Rhinolophus ferrumequinum: one gene and its partners. The protein of the gene in region 3 purifies or fractionates together with the protein of the main gene of each other region. This does not show direct contact. Links are inferred from orthologs where the notes say so. Each region holds a gene or a part of one and is shown on either strand. Other genes may lie near its edges.

Region 1 (6,891 bases), on a different chromosome or scaffold from region 3:
TGCTGGCGGCTGGGTTGGAGACACAGGAAGTAGGAGCCACGCAATCCGCCATCCACGCTTCTCTGCCAACCAACCAACCCCACTGTGCTGGCTGCAATCCGCGCTTGCTAGCTCAGCCGCGGCAGTTATATCAGTGGCCAATGGCTCACTAGTTACAGCTGACGGCCAACTAGTCACAGCTGACGGCCACCTACTACCTGAGCCAGCACCTTTCCACGTGAGGCTGAGAGCCTGGAAACTGCTCTCTGGGGCTCTGTCCCCACAGAAAGAAAGAAAGGGAGGGATGTGGCGTACTCTTCTAAGCCCCACTCTTCCACCCTCCAGAAAAATCAGACACAAGTCCAATGTCAGCTGCCATTTCTCTTTGAACCTGTGCCATTATTCTTCTTAGAGCTGGCCTGTTTCACTCACTTATGCTGCCTTCCAAATCTTACCGTCTTTGAATTCGCAGCCTTTGTCCTACTATGGTGTACTGAAAGGTCCCGTCAGGGTCCAACCAGTGGAAAGAGACGACAGGACTGTTAAGATGCCAAGCTCTCACAAACTTACTAAAACTGTCAGCTGCTGATTTTCTTCTTCACTGAACAATTTGCAAACGTCAGATACGGCAAACTTTCTCACCTGGCTCTTTTCTAAGTAGTAATCTCAGTAATTACTCAGATTCACAGAACTTGTCTTTCTCCTAATAACCTATGAAGAGCTTATCACGGGATGTTGATCACTCATAAACTTAATGTTTTAATTAAAAGGTCAAAAATATATCCACTTATCAGTTTTGAACTGTTTGAGCACAGGTTTAGGATAGCAGAGGAAACTACATTTCAAAAGGAAAAAAAAAATGCCCTCCAAATAGAATGAAAAAAAAAAATGATTAGACAGTAACTTTAAAATAAACTTTTTATACATGCAGAGACCACAAAAGCTTTGAACTATATAATTAGTACTAAAGAGGTCGTAAGACAGGCTTTATACAATCTCTTCTGATGACTGTCTCTTGCACTCCTTACACTGCTTTTGGCTGAAACAAATTTTCCTAACCTTTTAAAGAGAAGCTCAATCAGTAGCTGGTCACCAGTGATTGACTAGGACTGCCATAAGGCTGAGCTCACATGTTCAGCATCATATACTAAAAACAATAAATCATCTTATAGAAACACGTTCATGAGCTCAAAGCAATCCCATGGTAACACCAACTACCCCTCTTATACCACCAAAATGTTTAAATAAATACAGTCTTGAAGGAGAAAATAAACCACAGAAAGACAAATGATAAGTGTGCATAGCTGAGCCAGTCCCACACACTTGCTTTGGAGACCAGGAAAACAGACGGTCGTTGATTAAGGACAGAGTCAACAAAATGGGCTGTTTTCTTTCCTACCAGTTGCTTCTGAATCACTGTGCGCACTCCCAACACCATGGGGAGCCGCCGAAATCCTGGCCCCAAGTTCCATTCCATCTACTCTAACTCCTCCCCTGGAGAAATTCTGTCTCCAAGTCACAGCAACATGATAGCACGTAAAAGGAGGCAAGTCTGTATTCAAGACAAATGGTTTAGAAGGCTATGAAGTCCATTGTAACTTTAAAACAACTCTGCATTAATTTGTTACTAGATGAACGTTTGCCAGTAATCATGTTTCCTAGTAGCTATGTTAGACTTCTGGATTTCACCTGCTTGGACAAAAAGCGTCAACTCACCACAACAGACTCTCCACGTGGGGACAAGCAGTATATCTGACGATGTTTTTCCTCTAAGAACAGCACTGAGTATATCAAACAGCGCCTAAATATTTGCAGTGCTCTATTTGCAAACTTGCTTAACTTTTCTTGTTTGATGCAGAACTTGGTTTGACTTCACACTATCCTGTGAATTACTAAGCAAAACAGCCTTTGCATTTTCAGCCAAACACTGGCGTCTGACATGGTGTGTGGTTTTTAGTTGCCTTGCGACATGTGGCTAGGAAAATACGTCTCCCGCTTTCCCAAGGACGTGCTTTTGGCTCTGAACTTTCCTTTGTTGAAAAAACTCCCAAGGCCTCGGGGCGCAGCCGGAATCCACTTACCCGATCCTTCATCCTCCAGCTCTGCGCTAAGGACTTGGAGCCTTCGATTTTCTCGCAGTGCCTCTTTTTCATAAAAGCCAAAGGCAGGTTCCAGTCTGTCAGGTCGGCCTCATCTTCCTCCCCAAGCCCCAGAAGGGGCGACTGCAGCATTTCGGACTCCATCAGGGGGGGTGGGGGTGGGGGGGTCCTTGGCAGCAAGCGCTCGAGAACCTCCAGCCTTAAAAGCTAGTGGGCACCAGAACTGGTCAACTACAAAACAGATACGGGGGGAGTCAGAAACGAAACAAATGGAGAGCGTGCGGAGACCCTCGCTCTGGCAAAAAGTCTGCTGAAATCCTTTCTCTCCGAGGGAAGCCGGAGGGGGAGGAAGGGCCGGGGAGATGGGGCAGCGCAGGGGGCTCTGCACAGACGCACACGGCTGCTTCTGAGGCTGTCTGCTCCCGGGGGGCTGCGAGCGGAGCTGTCAGAGGCGTGCGGGGCTTCAGGCCGCACGATGACCCTGCGCTCGGCCTCCAACGCCTCGGCCGACCCGAGGACAGGCAGGCCGCCCGCTCCTGACGCCGGTTCGCCGACTGGGCTGACGTCTCCGGCCGAAGGGAAGGGGTTCGGAGCGCCCCGGGTCTCCTCCTGCCACTTTCAGCCCTGCGGGTCCCGCACTCGCCGCAGCTGCTGCAACCAGAGCCGGGACCGGCCCATCGTGCTCGTCCGCAGCCGGTTCCTCAGCCCCGGGTCCGCGCGGCCTGGCCGGTCCTGACCTTCGGCCCCGTGGCTCTCTCCTGCCTGAGAACGAGTCCTGAGAAACGGGCGACACGGCGCCGCGGAGAAAACAGGTAATGTGGGATTATTGGGTTTGGGGAGTTTTGCCCTCTGGTTTGAAGCTACAGTGAAACTCCTCTCATCAGCACATCAAGGAGGACGCCATATTGCTAAGACCCAGCATGCATCGCGATCTACGGCGTGGCTAACAGACCAAACTACCTCAGAGCGTTCCGGCCGCGCTTCCCAAGATGCGATGGGAGCAGTTTTTGCTCCAACTTCGTTACCGTGGTCACCACGGTGCAGCTTTCCAGAGTTTATTGCGATTCTTTCGCTGCGTGGTGGCAAAGTCAATCCTACAAATAAAACTATGTTAAATTAATTAACTTTGAAAAAAATCTTTTTATAATTACAAATGGACCCACGTGCTTCTGAAATTAAAGGAATCTCGACCCCTTTGTTGTTTTCTTTCAGATTTTGAAAAGGCAGGAAAAGCTTCAGAAAGAACCATTGATAATATTACAAAAGAAGATGGGATTTGGGGTGGGGGGAGGGTTTGTGTGCGTGTAGTATCCTTCACAGTACCAATCAGATTTTCAGGGAACACCAAGAGAAAAGAATAATTTCAATGATTGCAATTTTTTGTTTAATCCATCTTACTTTCTGAGCAGTTTATTCCTGTTTTGAGATAGCTTCATGTGCAAACAACTAAAACCTACAGATTTCTAGGCGTGGATGTACGCCTCCTGCGTAACTTTCTTTCTCTGCTTCAGTTCAGCAGACTTTGCTTATTTATAATGTGTGCAGACCTTGTCCGGTGCAGGAGGGAACACAAAACCCAACCAGCGTGCAGAGCCTGCCTTCAATCAATGTCCTGTCTAGTGAGACACACAGTAACCTTTAGGCAAAGCCCAGCAGGGGGCCAGGGGTTGGTCTTCCTCCCTTCCACTGGGCTTTGGTGTCAGGCGCACCTGTATCACTTTCCATCTCTGTGGCCTTAGTCAATCCCTTAAAGAGCTCAATCTTAGTTTCCCAGCTATAACACGGGGATAATAACACCCACCTGGAAGGATAAAATTAACCTGTGAAGGTGACTAGTATATCGTGAGTGCCCAGTACACTAGCAACGACCACTGTATAGCCAAAATGAAATGTAGGCGCCCTGGGTACCTTATTCATCCAAAAACCTCAGGCTGGGCTCTAGAAGATACCTTTTCTCAGTGTGGCTTCTCAGGGCTGTGACACCACGTGGTGGTCCACGTCGAAATCCTGAGGACGCTTGTGTTCCTTTCCACATCCGAGTGAACAGTGCAATCCCAGATCTTTCTCATTTGGCACATAGCAAGCGTTTACTAAAAGTTCTTGGATTAAATCAGTCCAAACATGAAGTCATTCCACACATTCATTCAGTTCTTACATCTCTATGAGCCCAATCCTTCCATTACAACTCAGGGCAAAATCACCAAAACACAGATGGAGGCTAAAATCTTCCTTTTCCCTGTGCTCTGTGTTGGCAAAACATGCCACCGTCACCAGCAGAGGCTTCAGGACTGCGAGGTCCTGAGAAGGCCCTGTTCTTGAAACTGGAGGGCAACCGAGTCCGGGGCTCATGCCGCCTGTGCCGGCCAGCCGATACACAGACACAGGGGCTGTGTCTGGGCTGTAGAACAAGCATTTATTATCGGAACACACACGTGATCTGATAAGGCAGCAGGTCAAGACCTCCAAAAACTGCCTTCATTCTCTCAGACCGGCTTAGGATATTTAAGGGAAAACATGGGAGTTCCTCCAGAGGCTACATGATGGTTCCAGGGGTCTGCACGGAGCCTTCCCTGTGGCCACGTGGTTCTCCCCGTGGTGTCAGCAGCCCAGGAACAGTGATGGGAGTATCCTGGAAAGAATGCTAGACCACAGAGATTGTGATCAGTAAGCCTAAGGGTATTAACCATAAGTTTCAGGGTGACTTTCTAAAGCTGGGAACCGGGACAGGGGACATTCCGAGCTCAAGCCACAGGGGGACAATCTATTACTAAGCTATATGAAGGAAAGGCGAGGCCGGGACGCGCAAGGCCTCCACTGCGGGGGAGGGGGGTCCCAGCCGGGCCCTGTTTCATTCTCACCTGAACGCAACACCACGACTCCAGCTGCTGCCTTGCCACCCTGCAGCACACGACAGTGAGGGGCCACAGATAACCACTCCAGGCACTAGTGCTGGGAGGAAGCCACGGCAGCAGAAAAGCAGCTGCATAGTTAGTTCTGTGACCTGGGGAAACCCACTTAATCTGTGTGAGACCCAGTTTCCTCATCTGTTCAGTATGTGTCACCTTGGGAAAGCCACTCGCCTTGTCTGAGTGTCCACAAAGTCAGTAAAGGAGGCCACGGCACGCACACCTGGCAGCTTGTCAGAATCGCCGGGGAAACTGTTTTAAAATGAAGATGCCAGGGTCCCATCCTAGATGTACTGAGCCACAAGGAGAGGGAAGAAAGGATTCAGCCTCTGGGTTTTTTAATCAGGTAACCCTGGTGATAGCTTCACATGAGCCAGATGTGGGGGATCGGACAATATTCTAAGGACATTAGGCAGCATTCTCCTCTAATGAGTCCGTTCCAGCCACGTGACGGGCCCTCAGTAAATACTGCGGGCGCCAAAAAATATATACACATGACTTGTATTTATCTGTTGTTATTGTGTATATGGAGCATTACAATTTTAATACAGTTTTTTCCTTTCTTAAAATGTGTATACATTTTTTTGGCACCCTCTGTATGTGTACCGAGTAAGTGAATGCTCCGAAGCACTTATCCAATCTTCCATCCAACAAGTCACAGCAGGAGTCACCCCCTACTGGACGACAAGTGTGACCCCAGAACCAAGAGGCCATCTGGGGTCCACGTCCCGAACTGAAGGTCAGGATACACACTCCGGTCCCTGGTTCACCACCCATTCCTGTAGCCATGGCCAAGATGCTGCCATTCCCATCCTCAGGCTCCACATCGGGGTGACATGGGTGACGTGAAGAAGGTAAATCTCTAAGGGCACTTCGGGGTCAAAATTCTGTGACCATGTGTAAATCAGGAAGGGGCTGGTGACAGCCCAGCTCCCAGTCTGAAGGTTTAAGAATGGGCTTGAGTCATTTCAAAGCATCATGACATTTAAAAGCAAACTCGTTCTGATGTGTCATGGGTGACTGTTCAAGTCCCAGATAAGCATTTGGAAGGGTGGCTCCAGGTTTCCGGATGGCAGTGAGAGGCTCTGAGTAATGGCAGGCTGGAAATTCACAGGCTAATCTTTCTCACCTCGGTGATCTTATTACCCGGCGTGCGATGGGCTGGCGACTTGGGCCTGCAGTTCCAATTTCCGGTGTCTCCAATTCTTCACAGGCAAGGACATTGCCTGCTTTCCACAAAGCCTCTAAACAAGACAGTTTAATCTTGAAAACAAGTGAATCTCAAAAAATGCACGGAACCTGGTCTAACACAAGCTATGAAAGCAGGGGAGGGTGTTGATGACCTCCTGCTGATGGCTGCCATCAGGCTGCAGGTGTGGAAGCGGGGGAGGCTCTGATCTGAAACAGCAGAATAACCCTAAACCTGCCTGTATAGAGAGGGGGACCTCGCCCTAGAACGTGAAGGTGATCAGATGACCCCTTCCAGCCTCACTCGGGCTACTTGGCAACCAGAAGCCAAAGATACAGCAAAGTGAGCAGAGAACACATTTACAAACCTGAGTGTGTCGGTCAAATACAACAGAAGTCACGGGAAATATGGGTGGGGGGAGGGAAGATGGGCAGGGCGGGGGCCTGAATAAACGCCTCAGGCACTGTACACAGCACAGGAAGAACGAAAGCGCCTGGAGTTTCAGAGCTTCCAACCTCAGCTGCTGGCCCATGCAAGGGACCTAATCTTTCCTCCAGGCACAAGACCATGGCAGCCCAGGCGAGGCAGAACCAGCTGCGCTCTGCCCTCCAACGCTGCAGCTTCTCCACTAAATCAATCAAGGGCATTGAATGTCCTGTCATCAAGAATCAGTAGCGAGACGGGAGGTCAAGCAGCTCGAGAAAACCAGGAACTTCGC
Region 2 (7,470 bases), on a different chromosome or scaffold from region 3:
TCCCTCCCAGAGAGGGCTGAGAGCTCTGGCAGAGGGTCAGCTGCAGCCACAGTTGACTCAGCCCATGCTCTTGACTTCAGGAGGGCCAGGCTGCCACCACTATCTGCAGACTGAGGGAGGATGGCCCCAGGAAGCTGGTGGCAGCCCCTGTTTGCACCCCTCTCTCACTCAGTAGATCTGGTCCCTTCCCACTGCCAGGGCTTCCAGAATAAGAGATTCCACAATTTGACCCAAGTTCCCTGCACATCAACTGGAACCTTAATTACACCCAGTGGGGTTCAGAAAAGGAAAGCTGGAGCCTGACTGCGTGCTTCATGTTGGCTTGTCCCCAGACCATAGCCAGCCACTTTGGGGGCCTCAGGACCCCCGCCCGGATTAGGCCAATCACTCTAAAGCCTCTCGGATTTGCGAGGTGACGCTGCCGTGGGGGAATTTTCTGATGGGCTGGAGTAGCCAAAGGCGCACCTAGGCTTTCTCGGGGTTTTTCCTCCTCTGACCCCAGCCACCACCAGCGTCAGGCAGGGAAAGACCCGCGTGACTGAAACAAAATCTTTTCTAGAGTCTGAAAATAAGTAAGTTCCAAAGAAAACTCTCCTAGGAGGAAGGGGTGGCTGTGCACTAACTCCCCACTCTTCCTCCTGAGATCAGGTCTTTCTCATGGAAATTGCCTTTTATTCTTACTGCTGCTACCACACCCTGTCCCCAGGCTGAAGCTGGAGGCTTCTCCTCCGCTGCTCAGGGAGAGACCAAAGTCAGACGCCAAAGAGGGGGAAGCCCAGAGCACCTGTCTGCTCCTTCCAGAGCCCTCAGCAGCATGAGCTTCATACATCTGGTGCCTTCCTTCCCTACAGGTGGGGGCAAGGCTGGCCTCAAAGAGAGCTGTGACCCTGAACCACTGCTCTCCCGGGAAGCAAACAAAAGGGTGAGGGCTGCTACCTGGGTGACACTTACTAGTTTGGGAAACAGTATTTGGGAATCTGGTCTCCTGCAAAGCCAGCTTTGATCACCCCCGAACCCTGCAAGAAAAAACAATGTTTAGCTGCGGGCATGGAGGTTGTGGGCTGCCAGACCAAGGCGGCTGGGGAGGAAGCTGAGATCCTGCCAAGAGGGCATGTTCATTCACTAGTACACCAGTGGTTCAAAACTGTGTGTGGGGGGGCGATTTTGCATCCCTTCCCCCAAATTCAACAGTGTCTTGTTGCTACTGGCATCCAGTGGTAGAGGCCAGGGACACTGGACACTAAGCACCCTACAATGTACAAGCCAGCCCCTCACAAGCGAGAATGATCGAGCCCAGAATGCCAGCAGCAAGGACCACGGAGCACCCCCTGCACACTCCAGGGCACTTCCAGGCAGGAGAGATCCATGGGAAAGCTACTCCCAAAAGCCAGCCAGAAGCAGTCCCTAAGCGTAGTTTCTTTCAGCAGCTCCTGTCCCCTGGTCCCCAGCCGACGGGACCACATACAGGGCCCACGGGAAGACCACTGGGTGCCTGGGGACACTGGCACTTCTTCCATGGCTTTCCCAAAAACTGCAAGCCAAGGACAACTTGTCCTGCCACTGCCCTAGCCTGGAAGCTGGACTTTGGGTCTCAGAGACCTTGCACCCTTCCATCCAATGAAGGAATCAGCATCTCACCCCCCTTCCCAGATTTACATCATAACACTTCCTTTCTGCAGTGCACGAACAAACATCCCCAAATTACAGAGCGGCTGCAGGCCAGGGAGACAAGCAGGTAGCTCTCTGAACGCATAAGCTTGTTGATTAGCCTACGTAATGATTTGCCCAACAAGAAGGGAGGGGCCTGGTCTCTCCTGTCGCCTGCTGGAGAGCACCCCCTAAGCTCGGTTTTAGCATTCTTAGTAAACATCGCCTGATGTGACTCAAGGAGCCCACAGGGGTACTTCAAAAAAGACAGCTGTTCAGGGATGACAGGGGGATCATGTGGGAGGGAGACAGCTCCCCAAAAGAGCAGGGAGTCGTTATCAAAAACTGCAAGGCTGGCACACCAGAGGCAGACAGCCAGCTAGGGGCAATGCCATAGACGCCTGCCCTTCATTTACTTCCCAAGGACCAGAAATTTCTGAGGCCAGAAATCCTCTGAGGGCAGCTGACAGCATGCTGAGTCCCAGGGCTGAAGGACATAGACACCGGAAGCCAGGCATCTTTCTCTGCGGCTTCCAAACAATTATCCCCAACTGCTCATGGGCCCTGCCGGCTGTGGCGTTCCTGCTCCACACAGGGAGCACTTCGGCAGAGGATCAAAGTAGGCACTGGCCATCCTGGTGGTGGTGGTGGATTTGTGGCTGGGAGAGCTGAACTTGCATTTTTCCCCAAGTCGTAGGAAAAGAGCCCAGGTAGGGCTGTCCTCTCCGGAGGTCCTGCCTGGGGGGTGCAGCCCCTTGGGAAGTGCTGTTAGAGGTCACCAGGCCAACCATCTCCAAAAGGCGGGCCAGCAGTGTGCAAAAGGGCAAATGCCAACCCTCCTCTACCAAGAGAGGCAGCCAGAGGCACAGCCCGAAAAAGGGAGAAAAGGGCTATACTCGGCACCAGCCCAGCGACCCCATTCTGAACCGAGCGGGTCCCGGGTGCGTGCCGGGGCCGGGCCGCCCGCGGTCGAGACGATCACCATGGGGCCGGCTGGGGCAGGGCTCGGGCAGGGGCCCCACGGCCCGGGCTACAGGGCCAGGCGGGCGCGCGGGCCTCGGGCGGGGGCAGCGTGCGGAGGACCAGCTCAGGCAGGCGGGTTCCTCCCGGTGCCGCCGCATGCGACCCGCGGGCGGGGCGCCCGCCCTCCCCCAGCTGCCGGGCCTCACGTTGTCGATGACCACGGGCTGGTTGGCGATGATGTCGTAGGACTCCATGGCCGGGCCGGGCCGGGCCGGCCCTGCCCAGCAGGCGGGCGGCAGGAGAAACTGGCGGACGCGCAGGCGGGTGGACCGGACCGCAGCGGCTCCAGACGCGGGGCCGCGCCCCTCCCGTGCGGAGCGCACAGCCTACGCGAGCCCGGGGCTCCCTCGAGGGCGCGCCCCGCGGCCAATCACCGTTCCCATCCGGGCGGATGACGGCGCGCGCCCCGGGCCCGCTGCCGGCAAAGGGGCGGGGCAGAGGGAGCCCGCCAGCCAATTGCGGCCGCGGGGAAGAACCGCCCAGGCGCTTCCAAGGTAGGCTGCACCGTGTGGGGATGACGTCATGGCCCCGCTCTTAAAGGGGACGCGGGAGACGGCAGGCTCGCGGGCGGGAGGTCCCCTGTCCAGGAAGACGTCTTCCGGATTCCCAGCGCCTCCGACTACACCTTCATGGGCACGCAGTCCCCAAGGAGGCCGGCGCTGGATATTATCACTCAAACCATTTCTTTACTGAGCACCGACGAGGACCCTCTCCCTTGTAACAATTACAATTTCGTGGTAACTTGGTATCTGGCGTTTAGCCAGCGCCTGCTATGGTGCTTGCGGAGCATTTCGACACACTTTACGTGGATTGCATTATTCAATCCAGGCAATAAGTCTACCAGGTAGTTGTATTATTATTCCCATTTTACAGATGTGGGCACTGAGGAGCCTCACATTTATGTAACTTGCCCTAGGTTATGTAACTAGCAACAGCTGGGGCCTAACCTGCAGGCAGCCTCCATCCGCGCAGGAGTCAACGTGCAACAATCCTGAATTCACTTATTAAACTGAGCCGTAGTGATGGCCTCTATATATGCCTTTCCCATTGGATTGTGAGATTAAATTTGGTAAAATTGAAAAACATCATAAAGTGCAGATATCATTAAGTATACATTCAATGGTTTATTATAATTCGTACATGTTGTTGAAAACTATAGAGAAAACTCAGCTACGGAGGCAGGAGGGCAGGCTCCTCAATTATCAACTGAGATAACTAGGAAGAGGAAGAGCTCAGAAACCTTACTTTCGAGGGAGAAACAGAGAAAGAGAGAGGAAAAGAGAGAGAGGTGGGTAAGAGAATGACAGTGCAGGAGAGAATCCTCCAAACCCTGTAGGGCCAGCCACTCCCTCCTGCTCTTTGGAGCCATCCTCTCAGCACCTCCCAGACAGCACCTCCTTTTCTCTCTGGAATGTCACCCTAGCACTTAGATTTCTTCTCAATCTGTTACTTACACCCACTTTACAAAATAAGGACTGTTGGTCGGGAGAAGGGTTATACTTGTCAAAAGGACTCCTCATGGTTAACTGGGCCCAAATTCATATTCCCAGTCTAGTAGCCATTGTTTACAGAGCCCCCACCCCCACCCCCACACAGAGCTGCATTGCTGCATTGCTGCACTGCTACATTGCTGTATTGCTGCAGTTCAGGGAAAAGCCACAGACTGGGATGCCAAGACTTCTACACAGTGTTCCTGCCTACTAAAGCTCGCCTGTATAAAGGACTTCTTGGAATGTATTTTGACCAATGGGCTGAGACCAGCCCCATCCAATCAGAGCTGCACAGTTTTATACTCATTTGCATCTTTACTGACCAATCAGAGTGGCTCCATAACGACCAATCAGGACATGTGATTCCAACCAATCAGGACATTGCCGTTTGGACCAATCAAACTTAAAATTTGGATCTTTCTTTGCATAAAAATAGACAGATGGGGACCAGGGCAGGCACTTTCTCTATGTAAGTGGGCCTCCGCTTTGTCTTGGAGAAGCACACTTTCGGTTTCCTCTGAGTTTCCTCAGTTTCCCTGAATAAAATCTTGACTTTTACTGCACCCTGGATTGAGGATTCCTGTTGTCCTTGGATTAGTGGCAGTAACATTTTGTTGACAAGACAAAATGCACCAATGCAGGTAAGTTCTTAGCACATATGGAGGAACCCATAGGGTGGGGTCCTTGAAGAATTTCCCTAGAATCAGACCCCAAAAGAAAGATGATGGAATCCTAGGCTTGATGCCACCTCCTCCTGGTTATGCTGAGAGTGTGAGTTTTGTGTTGTTTTATGTTCTTTTTTTGTTGTTGTTCTGTTTTTGTTTTTTTGAAGATATTTTAGAGAAATAATATTTATGCTGCTGCTATTACCTAATGTTATGGGTTGAATTTTGTCCCCCACCTCCCACCCCTAAATTTATATGTTGAAGTCCTAACACCCAGTACCTCAGAATGTGGCTTTATTTGGTGTGTCTACAGAGGTTACTGAGGTTAAATGAGGTCACTAGAGTGGGTCCTAATCCAATATGACTGGTGTCCTTATAAGAAGAGGAACTTTGGACACAAATATATATGGAGGGAAGAAGATGTGAAGACATAGGGAGGAGATGGCCACACACAAGCCAATGCAAAATGAAAATGCAGGGAAAAAAGTGCAGTTAAAGGTGCTAAAATATAAAGATTTTTCCTTTGAAAGTAGTGTGATACTTATAAAACATAACAAGGGAAATAGTGATACGTGAATGATAACATCAACTTATACTTTTGTTTATAATATTTTTGGTGTTATAATTTTATGTAACACAATAAATAATAATTTGATATCCTGATTTATCCTAAGATTTTTCTGGCTACTCTAGCCGCTTCCAATTAACTTAAGCTGATTTAATAGAGTTTTTGTTACTCGCGACTTAAGAGTTCTGGTTAATGTCCTACCGCCTTCAGGTCACAGCACTCGCAGGATGGAGGAAGGCCCTGCGGGGCACCAGAGTCCCCTCTGGTCCCTGTGCACAGAGCCTGGGCCCTCCCTCTACCAGCTGTAGAACTACCTCCACCCATTCCGGTTGTGACTTCACAGATCGGCGAGTTCCACAGTATCCTGGCTGAGGATTTCAGGAGGTTTCCTTCTCTCTAGTGGTGTCCAGACCATGGTAAAGCTGAGAGGAGCAGGGGCCCTCTTATTTGTCCTCTTCCTGGACTGTTGGCAGTGTGCAGACATGCATCAGCCTTTCCCACCGGTCGAAGGTACGGTCACAGGTAGATTGCAGGGGCATATGGAGAAGTGGGAGACTCACTGTGAGTCTCCTTCTGTGAGCCCTGGTGTGGTGAACCTGGAGCCTCTCATCACCCCAAATCTGCCATAGGAATTTCTGCTCAGGAGAAGGGAGTAGCTTTAACATTTTTCCTAATTTTGCAGCTTTCTCAGAATCCAGAGCCCCACAGGAGGGTAGCATATATAAACATACATTTTAACTTTTCATTATAAACGTTTTCAAACACACACAAAAGTAGAATGATTAGTAGAATGCACCTCCACGTGCTAATCAGGCTGAGCTGGTGTCACCTGCTCCCTCACACACATTGTTTTCAATAACAGCTTGAGACATTTTTACGTAGCATAAAATTCACTCTCTTAAAGTGTGTAATTCAGTGTGCTTAGTATATTCAAAGGGTTGTGAACTACCGGTATCTAATTTTAGAGCATTTTCATCACCTCAAAAAGTCAGTCACACTCACTGCCTTCCACTCGCCATTTACCATTTCCCACAGCCCTTGACAACCACTAATCTGTCTGCTCTATGGATTCGTCTGTTCTGAATAGTTCATACATGGAGTCATGTGGTCTTTTGTGACTGGTTTCTTTTATTTAACATACTTTCAAGGGAAGTTTCTCTTCAAAACCTGCGATGTGTGTCTGTCTCCCTCTGTTGTCCCCACACTGAGCACTGAGCACAGCGGTCAGGTCACAACAGATGATGACCTGAGATGGGAGACGCGAGGGCATTTCTCCTTCCACAGTCACATCAGCACCTTTTATCTCCTCTCCTCGCAGGCCTCCTGAGGTTGGCGCGTTGCCCACCAGTCGCAGAGGAGAAAACCAAACCCACAGCACTTTACTGCCCAAGCCCACAGGCACTCAGAGGGGGCCTAGAACCCGTGTGTCCCCTAGAGCAGGCCCCTTGCACGGTGCTGTTCTCGGAACAGCACCGGGAGACGATCGACTTGCGATTACACGCGGAGCCAGTGAAAGAAAGATTTACTCACAGCTACGGTTTACTTTCCCCCACAGGGTCAAATGCTGACCGTTCACCAAGTTCAAAAAATCTGGAGGAAGGTATGGCTAAAATATTTGGTAAGTACCTTCCCCCGTGAACCAGTCGGGCTGTGTTTGAGCGTCTCCTGCGCATCCCTGGCCGGCCCCCAGATGACCTATCGGCTGCCCTGATGGGAAGGGAGGTGCTTTGCACGGAGGCTGGAACCAGTTCTCTAAGTGGCAGGCAGGCAGGCAGATTCCCTAGAAATCATCAAAAGCATAGAAGAGCAACATGCAGAAAGGATTCTGCTCCTCACAGAGCGGGGGGTCCACCCTCTGGCAGGTGTTGGAAGTGCAGCCTCAGTGCCAGCGGGGACCAGGTGCATCACAGCTGCCTGGAAGGTGCCCAGGAGATGCTGCACGTAGTGGAGGCGGTGAGGCCCTGAGGCTGATTTCGGCCTTCTGCCCAGGTCCTCAGCCTAACTGAGCACGACAGTCCCCTGGGAGATTGTCACATAGAGACTTCCAGACCCACCCCAGCCACGAGGTTCCTTGGTG
Region 3 (7,344 bases):
CTTCCCCATTCCTCCTTCCTCATTTTTGGGGGGTATAACACAATTCTTTGTAGCATCATTACAATTGCAATTCTATGACAATTAGATAATGATAGCATGGAAATGGACTGGTATTAATAGTACAGTAGTCACCGGTGTGCCACATTTGCATTAGTAAATGCAAAGTATACATTTTATAAAGGACAAATTTTATGTTATGTTTTTATTTTCATTACGTTGTATGATATGTAACATTGTATGTCCTAATTTGCATTATAAATGTTTTTTCCTACATAAAGGCATAAATATAGCAACTTTGTATAAAGGTAGCTTATTAGATTTTTAATTTTTTTCTTTTATAGAAAATTGTCTAACAGTGGGACTACCATTGCCAAATTGTATATGAAAATATGAATTTTACCCCCTATGGTTAATTTCTTTTATAAACATTCCATATTTCTCTAATAAAAGACATAAGTGATACTGTACTATGCATAAATTGTATTTTAATGCTGTTTCATATCAGCATTTTAAATTTGGTTTGCATTTTTAATATTGGCAAAATTTACCACTGTTGATTAAAACCTTGATGTATATGTAACAACATCTTTTGCCCTCTGTCCCTCCTCACCGTTTGTTCTCTATTTCTCCCTATCAGTGCCAACTTCATACATTTTGTAGCATGGCAATAAAATATAACTTTTACACTGAGGCCGAGTGTGGCTTTTTGGAGGATGTGGAAATGGGAGGATTGCCCTCTAGTTGTTCTTTCCAGATGATTTTTTGCCATATGAACCATGTCTCCAGGCATGAGAAGTTATCTCATATATGATGTAAACATGCTTTTAAGGACAAGTGTGAATGTGCGTTTAAGCTTAATTTTTGTCATAACAAATAAGAACTAATTTTTTATCTTTGGAAACGTCAGAATTCTTGAAGTACAATCAAACCTTTATTAACTGGAGTACTTAAAGAATAAGCTAATAATTGAATTCAGTTCAACAAGGGCTAAGCAACACATTTTTAAAATCTTTATTTATTATAGAGTATTAGTATATTGTCCTAAAAGTTATATGTAAAATATGGTTTAATCTTAGATGATATAGGATCTTGCGATGCCTTACTGTTGTCATTCTGGCATAAATTTCCGTGATGAGGTACTCAAGCTGATAATGGAAGTTGAGCTGACTATACACTGACCTTAAGCATTCATGAAAAACTGCTTTGTTGAATAAAATCTGATCGGAGTTCTTCTGGTTACTTTCCCCTTATCGCCTAAAGTAGATTGCAATAAAATCCCAATAAAAGTTTGGTTGGATACCTATGTAAAGTTTTACTGTATTTATATTTCACACATTTCTTGAAACTATGATAAAAGGTTTTCTTAGTCTCATATCACTGCCTCCATTTCAAAGTGAACATATAATGGGTTAAAGATTATGTTTCATCAAAGTGAAATGAAATTTGAAGTATTTGACATACTTTCTCAGTTTTATCTGTGTTGTCATTCAAACTGGTAGTTCTCAGCTCTGAGTCCTCAAACCTGTTTTGGGGTCACTGAGTGATACTGTAAAGCCTACTTGGATAAGGTTCAAGATGGAGATCATTTAAACAATGAAGGGGAAAGAGAAGTCCACAAATGATTGGGTGGCAGACCCATGGAACACGTAATTAGTTAAGGTGTGGCAGAGACCAAATCTTGGAAAAACTTATTTGGATTATTTCTATATTTTTCTTTTGAGTCCCTTTGAAGACAGTAGCTATTCACATGTTCTTATTTAATGAATGAGCATGAACTAGGCCCTATGCTAGTAATAACGATAGCAATCCTTGTCCTCAAAAACATTGGTAGTTTAGAAATCCTTTTTTTAATGGGAGCAATCAATGCCCTTTCCCCCCAAGACATAAATTGTATATGATGAATTAACTTCTCTGCTATCGCGAGAATGGTAATAGCTATATGCCTTAGGAGAACTGACAAAATTGTAACTCCAGCTCTTAGTATGAATGGTGTTAAGGTGCACACGAGGGAAAGGCATCTAACAACCTGACAATGGAGGTTTTCAAGAAAAGCTTGGAGGAGGTAATCCCTGAGGTGTTTGACGAGAGCCTTCATAGGTTAGAGAAGGAGGGGACAGGACGTCTTAGGGAGAAGGAATAACATGCAAAGGCACAGAGGTATAGAAAGATGATGTTCATTAGTGGCAAGTGGTTCTGTATGACGAGTGGGGTGCAAAGGCAGGGTGGGAGACAGAGAAGAAAGGAGAAATGAGAGCCATAAGGAGCTGTAGGATGCTAAGGACTGTTTAAATGAGGTGAGTGTCTGAAGGATTTTAAACACTGGACAAATAATTTAGATTGCTCTGAGATGAACATGGAGGGTACCTTAGAGGACATTTTAATAAAGCAGGTAGACTGAAGAGGAGGCTCTCAGAGAAATGGAAGCAAAACTGGATAGATACCTATTCAAAGGCACTATTAAAGGAGTGTTTAGGTTATTTATTGCTGTGCAACAAACCACCCTAAAACTGGCTTCAAGCAACAAATCACTTTGTCACATTGCTACAGATCAGGGTGAGCAGGCCTATGGAACCCACCCCAAATTACAAAACTAGTAAATGGAAAAGTTGAAATTCAAACCTACACAGCCTGGTTCCAGAAGCTGAGTGTTTAAAACCTGTGGTACAAGGGTGACACTAAAGGAGGAAGAGAAAAACATGCAATGAAGAAAGAAATTGCTGAGAGTCCCCTCATAGGGGTCTCCTGGCAGTCTCGAGCCTCAGCTCCACAGGTGGCAGGGCCTGCCTTCCCAGTCTCCATCCAAAGCCTCTGGCTATGTTTCCTCCACGCCAAAGCCCAGTAGGGAGGGGATGTTGGTTTCTCCATCACCCATAGTTTCAGGCTTGCCTGCCAGAGGACATATTTCCAGATATATGATTTTGCCCACAATAAATACAGCAGTTTTCAGTGTCATGCAGTTATCTTAGCTTCTCATTATTGTAACATTCTAGTGTGCGATTTGGGATATGAGTGTTAAAGGGCATTTCCTGAAAGCAAGTTTCCTTACAAAGATTGCAAAAGTCTTGATAGATTTAGAATAGCAATTTGTCCAGTCTGAACAGCCCTTTTCGTGATGGCCCTGGAAATAGTGTGTAAAAGGGTCAGCAAACTTGCCATAAAGGATCAGGCTTTAAATATGTTGGGCTTTATGTGCCATACAGTCTGTCATAAATAACTTCCATTGTTTATTGCACAGTATATAAAAAGTGATGGGTGTGCTTGTATTCCAACCAAGTGTTATGGACACCAAAATATGTTTCACATAATTTTAATGTATTATGAAATAGTCTTAACTTCTTTTAACCATTTAAAAAGGTAAAAACCATTCTTTACTCTCCAGCCATACAGTTTGTCAACTCCTGGTATAAACCAACCTTCTTAGAGAATATTTGAAAGGTAGAAACATTTTAAAAATTGAAAACGTCTACCAGTGTTAACAATTGCCCAAAATCCAAGAACTTGCTAACTGACTCATGAGTCAAACGGAGAAAAGGGTATCAGCAGGTAGAAAACTAACATTTTTTTTGCACAAAACTTTGCTTTAACGGTCCTAAGGGGTCAATTCAGAGAAAGTAGAAAACTGTTTTTGATAAACTGAAATTTTGGGATTGATCTTGATCTCTACCAAAGCATTATGTAAGAGTATATTAGTTATCTCTACTAGTGGGGGAGGGGAGGAACGAGTGAAACGCAAAAACCTCCTGAAAATGAGCAAGCAAAGAGAAAGGAAACGTCTCCATCAGTTCACAACATCTTGTCCTGGACAGTCAACATCCAATTAAAAACAGCGTTTTAAAATTCAATAAAATAAAATGTGTCTTCCTCGTAATACTCAATAAATAGTTAAAATCAAAATAGCGATGAAAATATTATTTAGGAATATGTTGGTAAATAACCACTACAGAACAAAGCTGAAAAGTTGAGAGTGGTTGCCTCTGGGAGAGGACGGGATGAGGTTGGTGAGTTATGTTGTTCATTACTAGTACATAACACTTTAACCTATGTATATGTGGTACTTCAAGGCAAACCTTTAAAGATTAAGAAAAAACGTGCAAGCACAAACTCCGCTACTATGGCAACCCCCGCGGCGCAGCGTCTCTAGTTCTTCCGGGGTTCTGCTCCCAATACTGCCGGCCTCAAGCAAGATGTCAGACCCCCGCTTCCTTGCCCCAAGCAGGTGGCGCCGCAGGGAGAGGAGGAGCACAAGCCTAGGCCGCGCCCCTCCCATGTGACGGGCTGCGTTTAAGACCCGCAGGGCTCCACTCAAAATGGCACTTCCTCCCTCCCTCCGCGAGCCGCGCTAGGCCGGAGCGGCACACCGGCCGAGGCTCCGCCCCTTACGGTAGAGCGTGAGGCGTCACTTCCGGCTTCTTTTCCTTCTGGTCCCGGGCGCGAGCTGTGAAGGAGTAGCGTGTGTGCCGAACTGCTTGGAACCATGGTGAGCTTGGCCCCGCTGGCCCTGCCCATGCCCCGCCATACTCCGCCGTGCCCTGCCGCCCCCTCTTGTCCTCCCAGTGCCTCGGGCTCCCTGTTTCTGTGCTCCGGGACTGCCGCACACGGTGAGGGCCGCGGCGTGTGGCCTGCGCACAGGCCGCTGGCGAAGCTCCCGGTGCAGGCCAGGGGGAGGGTGGGCCTCCAAGCCAGCGTCCTCTGACACCGCTTCTCCAAAGCCCCAGAACCGGGAGACCCGGGGCTCACCCTTAGCGAAGAAATTTCCAGGGCTCCGGGCGGGTCGGCGAGACAGGCCCCGCCCTCCCTCTCGGGGCGGAGCCTGGAGCGGCCTGTTGGAAGCTAGGCCTCTTCCATTCCCTCACCCGCTTGGCGGTTGTCCTGCGAGTGGCCTACAAGCCCTGCCTGCCTATCCTTAGATTAAAAGTCATCTTGAGTCTTGCCATACTTAAGAGTTAGTACATAATTTTTATTCTTGGAGCACTTGTAGATACAGAAAGCAAGGTTGCTTTCCTACACAGCTTTTAGAAGTGTCTCCTCCCCCTTAAATGACTGCCCTGATGATGGAGAGCTTCATTTTTTGGAAAAAGTACACTATTCTGTACATCAATTTCCTCTTAGATATCTTCTTGTAAGTCTACTGGAGGGCATCTAAGTATATGTGTTAAAAGAATATTGGCATTCACACCGGTTTTTGTTTTTCCTTTTTAGGCGTCCCTTTCCCTTGCACCCGTTAACATCTTCAAGGCTGGAGCTGACGAAGAGAGAGCAGAGACAGCTCGTCTGGTGAGCCTTCTTCTCATTCTTTGAAAGATAAAATCGTACTTTTACCATTTTAAGACTCAAGGTGATTTTGACAATCTCTTTCTTTGATTTTCACTCCAGTCTTCTTTTATTGGTGCCATCGCTATTGGAGACTTGGTAAAGAGCACCTTGGGACCCAAGGGCATGGTAAGAAAAAGAGGGAATTTTTGTTTTGATATTGTTTTAGAGCCCTTAGTGAAAATGTACATAGTAAATAATACTTTTCTTGATGCATTTTAATCGTTGAAACTTAACTCTAATTATATAGGTAAGACGTGGATATATTCTCTTTCCTGAAAATCAAAACAGTACCTATATGGCTGAAGTCCCATTCAGTGCCCATCCCCAGTCCCACTCTCCTCCCCACTGACAACCACTGTTATCATTTGGATGTAGATCTTCCCAATATTTTTGTTCATTAATGTAAATATATGTGTATCTTATGTGTTATGTATTTTCTTATATACTGGTAACATTTTGTTTTATCATAGGTATTTATGTGTAGTTTTTCTGTAGCTTGCTTTGTTAAAATTCTTTTCAGTGTAAATGATTAACTGCCTCTTAAGTGTCAAATGGTATTCAGCATCCTGATTATTTTATAGTTTATATTTATGACTGTATTGAGGGACACTTTGTTCCATTGTTTTGGCTATTATAGTGCTGAGACAAACTGTTCATGTCGCCCAGTTCTAGTGTTTTTAGGGTTAGATACCAGGGTTTGCTTGTGGGGTGTATGTATTGCAAAAATTTGAATGGATACTGTCAAATAGCCATCCAGGGTATTGACACATTAACAATATACGAGAGTAGTGATTGACCCATGCGTTCTTCAAGCTGTATCTATATCTTAACTTGAACCAAATATGTTCCTTTTAGGACAAAATTCTATTAAGCAGTGGACGAGATGCCTCTCTTATGGTAACCAATGATGGTGCAACTATTCTGAAGAACATTGGTGTTGACAATCCAGCGGCTAAAGTTTTAGTTGGTGAGTCTGGAGATACTCTTTTGTTAACATTTTGAAACATATTTTAAATAGGCTGTGTTGGCTGTACTTCCTTTAACTATTGTCCATTTTTTAATTGATTATTGTCATTAAAATACAAGCTTCTGGAGTGCCATGTAATTATTAATAGTAAAATTGTTGCATTTCAGACTGAAAAGTTCCAAAGAATTTGTCAGGTGAGAAAACCTAGATAAGTGAGATTTACATTGGTAGTGGGTATGTTTGGAGAATTAGTTTAGCTACAGAGAAGTAATTTAAAAGGCAGAATCAGATATAAATGAGTTAACTAACTTTTTTTTCTAGATATGTCAAGGGTTCAGGATGATGAAGTTGGTGATGGCACTACCTCTGTTACTGTTTTAGCAGCAGAATTGCTAAGGGTAAGACTATCTGAGCAATTCTAACCTCATTTTATGAATTAGTTTTTGCTACTGTAGTTTTGAATGTCAGAAGTAATGAAGTCCTTACTTCCTACATCTTCACTATTGACAAGTGTTTTCCACTGTTTATTAATAGGAAGCAGAATCTTTAATTGCCAGAAAGATTCATCCACAGACCATCATAGCTGGTTGGAGAGAAGCCACAAAGGCAGCAAGAGAGGCTCTCTTGAATTCTGCAGTCGATCATGGGTCGGTATACCAAAATACTACTGTTTTAAACATTTAACATTCTTTCCAAAATGTACTCAATGCACGAAATCTAGAAAACAAGAAAAACATACACAAACACGACCCTGCTATCTCATCCTGCCCCAACAGAGAAAACCCGCATTACCCTCCAGAGATAGCCACTAAAGTTCAAGTTTGGGTTTCCAGTTTTTGCTTATATAATCACAGTAAACAGAACGAATAGTATCATTGTGTAGAGGGTTTTTAGTCTCTTGAATGTAGTTGAATGACAAGCACATTTCTGGGTGTCAGTATTCTAATTGAGGTATTCATTTGATTATATTACTGCAGTACAATTTGCCTATCTATAGTTGGAGATTAGTGTTTTGACAGTTTTTAGCTTTATAAGGTACAAACTTGTTACCCAAAAAAATGTTT
Region 4 (7,629 bases), on a different chromosome or scaffold from region 3:
GGGGGATCTCTGGAACACGTGCGGATTAAATAACTGTGACGTTTAAAAAACATTCTCTGAAATACAGGGTCTGGAGACCCTCTGGGTAGGTGAACACACAAAGGTGCTGGGAGAGCGGCGCTTGGAGAGGGCATGGAAGCTCTGCACCCCTTCCCCATACCTTGCCCTCTGTTCCATCTAGCTGTTTCTGAGTTATAACTTTTATAATGAACAGATAATAATAAGTAAGAGCTTTCCTGAGTTCTGTGAGCCATTCTAGCAAATTATTGAGCCCAAGAAGGGGTGATGAGAACCCCTGATTTTATAGCCAGTTGCTCAGAACTGTAGGAAGCACAGACTTGCAAAGTCCCTATCTGAAGTGGGGACAGTCCTGTGGGGCTGAGCCCTGAACCTGTGGGGTCTGGACTAACTTGGAGCAGAAAGTGTCAGAATGGAGCTGATCTGCAGGACATCTGGCGGGTGTTAAGAGTTGGAGAATTGGTTGGTGTGGGGAAAACCCACACTTAGTGTTGGAAGTATATAGCAATGGAAACAGAGTGGCTTACTTGTAGGTTTCATCCCGGATAGGGTCTGGACCAGGGGTACCCCATGGAGGCGGAACATAGGAGAAGCCTTGTGGGTGGGAAAAGGGTGTGTGTGCAGTGAAGCCTATGCTTTTGTGTCTGCCTGGGTTACAGGCATGCTGTGTGCAGTGTGTCGGGGGGCAGTTCCCACCAGGAGGGCAGAACCAGGCTCCCAAAGACCAGGCTGTACCCTATGCCTGCCACCCCATGAGGGGTTCTATTTCATATATCCATGAGTCCATGTCATGCTCCAGAAAGGCACAGCCCTCCCAGCACCCCCAGAGCCAGCAGAGCCCACACATACATGGAAAAGCACGCCAGGGAGCCCCGTGCACACTACATTCCAGCCCACCCACCGGAAGACCCAACACTAGGCTCCATGCATTGACTAATATTCGGATGGACAGAACCTAAGATTCTCTTAACCTCAGAATCTCCATCCTATTACAAGCCATCAGAGAACCTGGAAGTCAGTCTCAGGATCTCAGGATCAATCTTGGACAATTGGAGTCAATTTCAGAACCTTCCAATCTAACTCAGTACCTCGAGATCACACTCAGAAGCATAGGAGAGTCTCAGAACCGCAAAGCACTAGAGTCAATCTCAGACCTTTCAAAACAGTTGACAGAAGCTTGGGGCCATCTCAGAGCCTCAGGCTCAAAGGGACCTCCAAGACTGTTCATCTGGCCCCTTTCCAGGACAGAAGTCACCTCCACAGCCTCCCTGACTTGGCTGCCAGCCTCTGCTATGAGCGCCCTTGACAGGGATGCTTGGCCCTGCCCACCACTCCCCTCTGCTGGATAAAGGCTCTAGAAATTCAGAATCATTTTCCTATCCAGAGGCTGAAATCTGCCCCCGCTGGTCCCAAAGATTTCAGGTTTAGACCCCTGTTGCCTGGATCTGCCTTGCCCCAGACTGCCCTAGTGTTGAGTCCCTCTGACAGCTTCCAGACCCCCACCCTACCTACTGAACACCTTCACCCCCAACAGTTACCTGCTTATGCATTTCAACGTTGAGCCCATAGGACATCTCATAGTACTGCAAAGGAAAAGCCAGTTGGCAATGTCCACGGTGCCGACGGATGTCCAGCCCTGTGCTGGGTGACTCTGGGTCTTCAGGAGCCCTCAGGCTGGGGTGGTCACCTCAGGGCACAGATCATCCCAACCCCATGGGGACCCCCTAGGGAGAAGCAGGTCACCCTTCCACTCTCTCCAGGAGGTGGGGCAGGTGGTGGTGCTGAGACCCTGGCCCAGAGATGAGGAGAAGAGACATTCTTGTCTCATTGTTCTTAAGAGCTGGGAGGGTCCTGGGAGAAACAGCCTGGAATCCCAACCAGCCAACTTTACAGATACGGAAAATGAAGCCCCAAGAGGGGCAGGGACTTACCCAGAGTGGCCCAGTGAGTTGGGATTCACAACCCAAGTGTTTTCACTCCTGGCCAAGCCCTGTGCCCCACTCCCCCCACCCTGACATGCTACCCTCCTCACCATGACATAATGTCGCTGCATTTCGGTCTTCTCACTGGCCAACTTCTCACATTCCAGCTTGAGGCTGGGAAGGAGAAAGGGCATGGGTACCCCACTCTCCATGACCCCCAGAGGGAGACTCAGGGAAACCGGGACACCCCACGGATACCCGCTTTGGGCCAGTTTCCAAAATGATGGGTTTGACACTCCTCCTCCCCACTTCTTTACACCCCCACCCTCCACCCCCGCCTTCCCAGACTCAAAATGTCCAAGCACCCACTGTCCCCATTTCCCTCACCCTGCGCTTCCACCTGGAAGCTCTCCCCTCACCTCTGGGGGCCAGCCCTACTCCCAGCACCCTGGAGGCCCCGCCCCCGCCTGGCCCGGTCCCACGCGCCCCGCCCCTCTCCCTGAGCTCCCAGGTGAGCTCGCAGGTGAGCTTCCCGGTGCCCCAGGAGGGGCGCCCCGCCCCCCCTCACCTATGATACTGAGCCTGAAGGAACTGGAATTCCTCTTTGATGCGGTCGCAGATCTCCAAGATCGAGAACTTGAAGGGCTGACCGGACTGAAGCGGGGTCTGGGGGGGACGTCTGAGGTCTGAGTTCCCGGGCGCTGGGTCCCCCACCCCCGCAGCCCAGGCCCCCACTCACCGGGTGCCTTCCCTGAGGGTACATCCTGTCGATCTGGGAAGCCCCCCTCGCGCCGGAGTGTGACAATGTGGGGGGGTCGAGGCGAGGGGGTGGGAGAGAGAAAGAGGCTGGGGGCGGGGGTCTGCCCGGAGAAAGAAGACGGGGGGCGGGCGGCGTGGGGCAGAAGACCCTGGAGTCCCCGCGTCCCCCAATCGTGCGCGCAGGGTCACGAGGACGGAGAGGGACAACGAGGACCCCTCCCCTGGGCAGGGGCGCTGGGCGGTGGGCGCAGAAGGTCGGCGAGCCGCGGCCGGGTGTCGGAGGCGCGGGCGGCGGGCCCCGCGCGGAGCCGCCTCCCTCCGGCGGGGCTCGGCCGGGAGCCGCGGGCTGAGCTGCCTTAAGGTGGCGCCGCCGCCCCCCAGGCCCGCCCACCCGGCCCGCCCGCCACCCACCCTGCTCCCCCCCCAACCTGGAGCCGTAGCTCCGGAAGCCCACCCGTCCCTTCGACCAGTGCCCAGTGGAGAAACTGAGGCTCGAGTCCAGCCCCACAAACATCGTCCCCGCTCACTCCCTCCCTCCCCAGGGGGCCCCAGAGAAAAAAAAAGCAAGGAAACAAATACCTGGCGGCCCACGGTGGGGAGAGCAGTTTGTGGTCAGAAATGGCCTTTCTGAGGATGTGGGCTAAGACTTAAGGATAAGGAGGAAGCAGCCTTATCAAGTGCTGGCAGGGAAGCCTTCCCCCAGGAGAAATGAAATAGCAAGGGGCAGAGGCCCAGAGGAGGGCAAGAGGTGGGGGGCCCAGGCAGGCTCTCCCCCACACTGGGCCTCAGGATTCTCTGAAAAGGGCAGAGGCAGGGGCTGTTTTTTACGAGATGGTACATGCACAGCCCTCAGCCGGGCTTGGCTCACAGTATGGGAGTTGGTGTTCCAACTGCCACAACCAGCAGACTGTAGGCTCTGTGTTTCTCCGAAAATAAGACCTACCTGGACAATCAGCTCTAATGTGTCTTTCGGAGCAAAAATTAATATAAGACCCGGTCTCATGGCTAGGTCTTATTTTCGGGGAAACGCGGTAGAAGGCAGAAGTCCCAGTGAGAATGGGAACGGAATCTCTGCCTTCAGACTGAAGTCTCTCTGAGGGCAGGGGCTCCAACCCCCACCATGGACCTCAGACATCCAGCTACTGTCCCTCACATTCACCTGGGAGATGGGATGTTCTTATTCCCATCCTGCGTGTGAGAAACCTCAGAGTCATTCATTAAGGCAATCAACAAACACGTACTGGGTGCCTACTCTGGACCAGACCCTGCTCTCGGCACTGGGGCTCTCAACAGGGAACAAAACAGAGAAAACCTCTTGCCAGGTGTTAATGTCCACACCCATGTCAGTAATTGTGTGAGTGACAATGTACAAAAGTCCTTAAACTTAAAAGCATCACTTTCCAGTCAACAAATTTATTGAGCATCTACTATATGCCACACATCCTCCCAGGCATACAAGAGTGGATGAAGGAGAATGGATTCCTGCCTTCTCTCAGTTTGCGAGACAAGATCACAGCTTGGTAATGATGGAATTATTTGTGTGCACAAGAGAAGAGTTTAGGGAGCAGTGGAAAAGGTTGACAAGAGGGAACCTACTTATCTGGGGTGTCTGGGAAAGGCCTCTTTGAGGAGGTTAATGTTGGACATGAGACTTGAAAGATAAAGAGAGGAAACCATGGGAGGGGAGGTAAAGAGAGATCCAGGGAGTGTTATCTGTGTGTGTGATGAAGGGAGAATTCAATGATTTCCTATTGCCTTCAAAATAAAATCCAGACTCTTCCCTCTTCCCACAAAGCCCTGCACAAACCCCCTCCCCACGGTCCCCATCTTGATCCTAACTCCCTTCACTTTCACCCTCATTCATTCTGCTCCAGCCATTCTCTGTTTCTCCAACTCTCCAGGCACAGTCCTGCCTCAAAGCCTTTGCACTGACTGTTCCCTCTACCTGGAACACTGGTCCCCTTGCTTCTCATCATTCAGGTCTCAGCTCAAATGTCACCTCCTCATAAAGTCCCCTCCTGGCCACCCATTGAAGCAGCATTCACCCACTCTACCTTGTTGTTTTTAAACACCGCATCCTATTCTCTCTTTCTAGGTCCTAACAGAGTTTTTATTTTTGACATGATTATGTTTCTTCGTGGGTTGTTCTAGTCATTATTTGTTTTCCCCTAGTACTAGGCTGTGTAGGGACAGAGCCTGTCTTGGTCCCTGCAGAGCTGGCCCACAGTAAGTGCTCAATAAAAAAACGGGCCTTGGGATGAGAAGAAAGAGCTGATGCAGCTAAAGGTGGTAATCACTGGCCCCACTCCTGCTGGGAAATTTTCAGAAGCAGGGAGTTCCAGGATTCCACAATGCTAGGAGATTGTGATTCTGGTTCTGGGGGGAGAGGGTCTGTGAAGTCCTCAAAAACTTTTTCCAGGCAGCCTTTCTTCCCCCTGTCCCCATGCCCTCCTGAACACTCATGAGAATGGCTGCACGCTCTGGGTCCACCCCTGGCCCCTACCCTGAGACCCAGCCCTGTGGGTGCAGCCACCAAATGGATGTCCCCCCTGGACACCCCCAGGTCATTAGACAAAGCATCTTCCCCAAACCTGTTACACCCCACAGCCCACCCTGACCCCCCCAAGATAGAGCATCAGCCTAGCCTCTTCTTTCCCCCTCACCTGCCATGCAACTCTGCTCCCCTTCCCAACAACCCCTGCCTGTACCAACCCTTCATCCTCCGCCATCTGGATCTCAAGCCAACTCACTGCTCTGAACAGCCTTCACTCTCATCACCTTCCTTTGAGTCTGGCCCTCCCTCACTCAAAGCCCTCCCATGGCTCCCTATTGCCCTTGGGACAAATTCCCAGATCTTCAGGTTAGCATGGATACCCTTCACCTCCTGGCCTGACCCAGCTTCACCTCCCTCTACCAGTTCAAACACTCCCTCTGCTCCAGCCACGCCAGCTGGATTACTTAATCTGTGTTCTTTCTCACCTCTGGGCCTTTGCTTATCTCTTCCTGGAATTCCCTCAGCTCTTTTTCTGCCTGCTCGAAATCCCTTCCTTCAGGGCCCAGCCCAAATGGCACCTCCTCCAGGCATCTTCCCCTCCGCACACACATTGAATACAGACTGTCTAAAGTTGATATTTATTCAATAACCACCTTCTCATGCTGGAAGATGCTGGGGCCTTAGGAAGGACCCGGCCTCAGGCTTTGCTGGGAGGGTTCCCAGGGTAGCTGGATGGGGAGAGACAGAACTGAGGACACACTCCAGGGCACACGTAGTCAATGCCAGAACAGGGGGACAGATCCAGGGCGGAAGCACCCCGAGGGAGATGGAACAGGGTCTCTGCCTATGGAGTCAACAGGAGGCTTCCTGGAGGAGGGAACCTTTACCTACCAGTCTTTAGATTTCTCAGCCAGGCACACTCCACTGAGGAGAGTAAATACAGATTTGTGGATTGCCTGAGAAGCCACAAGACCACACACACACATACACACACACACCATCTCTTGTGTGTGAGATCTGCCAAAAAGGAAGAGATGGTTTGCTCTAAGCAGTAGCAACCTCAGCTTGGGAGCAGCTCTGAGAATTTGGGAAGGCTCAGCTAAGAGTAGTCTGTGAGTTAGGAGGACCCTTAGGAAGCCTGTTACTCCATAACTCGCTGAAGTCCCACATTCACCCAGAGCAGGAGGCAGGGAAAGGCCTGGCAAGGCCTGAGTTACAGCCTGGGCAGTCTAGCACAACCTTCTCAATTCCCCAGCTAACTCGTTTGCCATGGTGCTGGTGGTGGGAGGCTCGCTTCAAGCTCCATCTCTCTGGGCCTCAGTTTCCCCATCTGCAAAATCCAGGAAACTGCAAAATGGAGGAAGGGGCTTAGTTTCCGATTTCTCCCCTCCCACTATACAGAAAGGCTCAGCCCCGGTTCTTGGCTGGGTTTTTATGCTGTGGATGTGGTTTATTTATTTATTTATTTATTTTAAAGGAAAAAGCTGAGAAGCAGCGCTGGGACCCGGGATTGCTCAGACCACCTTAAATCAGCCCCGCAGTCCCAGCTACTGTGGAAATTCCTTTCTCTGTGGTGGTTGGCTGAACGCGCCAGCCAATCCGCCCACGGTGCTCCCACATGGGTCCGTGACGTCACAATGGGCGCTGGCCAATGGGAATCATGGAACTGGCAACCAATAACGGGCGGCACTAAGATCGTCTAGGCCAATCGGAAGGCGGCGAGGCGCTCCCAGCGGGATATGCAGAGTGTAGCTTCTTCCTCCCTAAGAGAGGCTGAGACCCTCGTGTACGCCCCAGCCTGGCTAGGTTAGAGTGAGGGATCCAGTTCGATTACTATCCAAAAACATAGCAGCGAGCCACCCCGGGAGCCTGGTAGGTCTCCCCTTAAAATCAAGAGCCCCTCGCCCAACAAATTACCTTGCAAAACCCCTCTCAGGGAGCGGGGTCGACTGGGCGCCTTTCGCCCTATTTCACCGGTAGCTAAACTGAGGTAAAGAGATGTGAAGTCACGCTAGACCCCCTCTGGGAAAAGCTGAGACTCTCACCGGAGCCTGAAGGCTCCTAACACAGATGTTTTTGTCCCCAAGTCAGGTGAGGAAAGAATAGGCCAATGTGTGGGCGGGAAGCGGGGGGGTTGTGCTGGGCCCGTGCCTCAGTTTCCTCGAGCGCGAACGGAAGAGGAGATGAGAGCAGGGCTTCTCGGAAAGACTACGATCCCCAGAAGCTCCTGCGCGGCGCCCGCCCAAACTGTCAATCAAAGTAACGTGGGTTCCTCTCCGACCCGCGCTCCCCCGCCCTCCGCCTAGCTTCTGCCAGCTCCCGCTCCCTCCCCGCCGGCTTCGGGCCCGGTGCGGTATAATTACAGCCCATTGATCCGACCCGGGCCGGGAAAGCGGCTCCCTCGGGGAGGCCAAGCCTTTGGCTTCCGACATCGCC

The links.
Region 1: the proteins of CCT2 (region 3) and RPTOR purify together in Homo sapiens (affinity purification with mass spectrometry; 3 studies listed by BioGRID and IntAct, with this or other methods). This does not show direct contact. The link is inferred for Rhinolophus ferrumequinum from reciprocal best matches to the Homo sapiens genes CCT2 and RPTOR.
Region 2: the proteins of CCT2 (region 3) and ACTR1B purify together in Homo sapiens (affinity purification with mass spectrometry; 3 studies listed by BioGRID and IntAct, counting the BioPlex papers as one, with this or other methods). This does not show direct contact. The link is inferred for Rhinolophus ferrumequinum from reciprocal best matches to the Homo sapiens genes CCT2 and ACTR1B.
Region 4: the proteins of CCT2 (region 3) and TLE2 purify together in Homo sapiens (affinity purification with mass spectrometry; 3 studies listed by BioGRID and IntAct, with this or other methods). This does not show direct contact. The link is inferred for Rhinolophus ferrumequinum from reciprocal best matches to the Homo sapiens genes CCT2 and TLE2.

What each region holds. Positions count from the first base shown.
Region 1 is NC_046304.1:53,774,303-53,781,193, reverse strand, and holds the start of RPTOR (regulatory-associated protein of mTOR), read right to left. Parts: upstream 3,001-6,891; 5' UTR 2,223-3,000; coding exon 2,061-2,222; intron 1-2,060. UniProt on the Homo sapiens protein: Component of the mechanistic target of rapamycin complex 1 (mTORC1), an evolutionarily conserved central nutrient sensor that stimulates anabolic reactions and macromolecule biosynthesis to promote cellular biomass generation and growth.
Region 2 is NW_022680356.1:2,451,885-2,459,354, forward strand, and holds the start of ACTR1B (beta-centractin), read right to left. Parts: upstream 3,010-7,470; 5' UTR 2,865-3,009; coding exon 2,817-2,864; intron 1,017-2,816; coding exon 952-1,016; intron 1-951. Other genes in the region: C13H2orf92 (uncharacterized protein C2orf92 homolog), read left to right, coding at 5,807-5,903, 6,949-7,011. UniProt on the Homo sapiens protein: Component of a multi-subunit complex involved in microtubule based vesicle motility. It is associated with the centrosome.
Region 3 is NC_046293.1:65,558,390-65,565,733, forward strand, and holds the start of CCT2 (T-complex protein 1 subunit beta), read left to right. Parts: upstream 1-4,328; 5' UTR 4,329-4,474; coding exon 4,475-4,477; intron 4,478-5,199; coding exon 5,200-5,274; intron 5,275-5,373; coding exon 5,374-5,439; intron 5,440-6,168; coding exon 6,169-6,280; intron 6,281-6,601; coding exon 6,602-6,678; intron 6,679-6,814; coding exon 6,815-6,927; intron 6,928-7,344. UniProt on the Homo sapiens protein: Component of the chaperonin-containing T-complex (TRiC), a molecular chaperone complex that assists the folding of actin, tubulin and other proteins upon ATP hydrolysis.
Region 4 is NC_046301.1:60,196,549-60,204,177, reverse strand, and holds the start of TLE2 (transducin-like enhancer protein 2), read right to left. Parts: upstream 3,008-7,629; 5' UTR 2,704-3,007; coding exon 2,680-2,703; intron 2,607-2,679; coding exon 2,509-2,606; intron 2,115-2,508; coding exon 2,051-2,114; intron 1,602-2,050; coding exon 1,557-1,601; intron 1-1,556.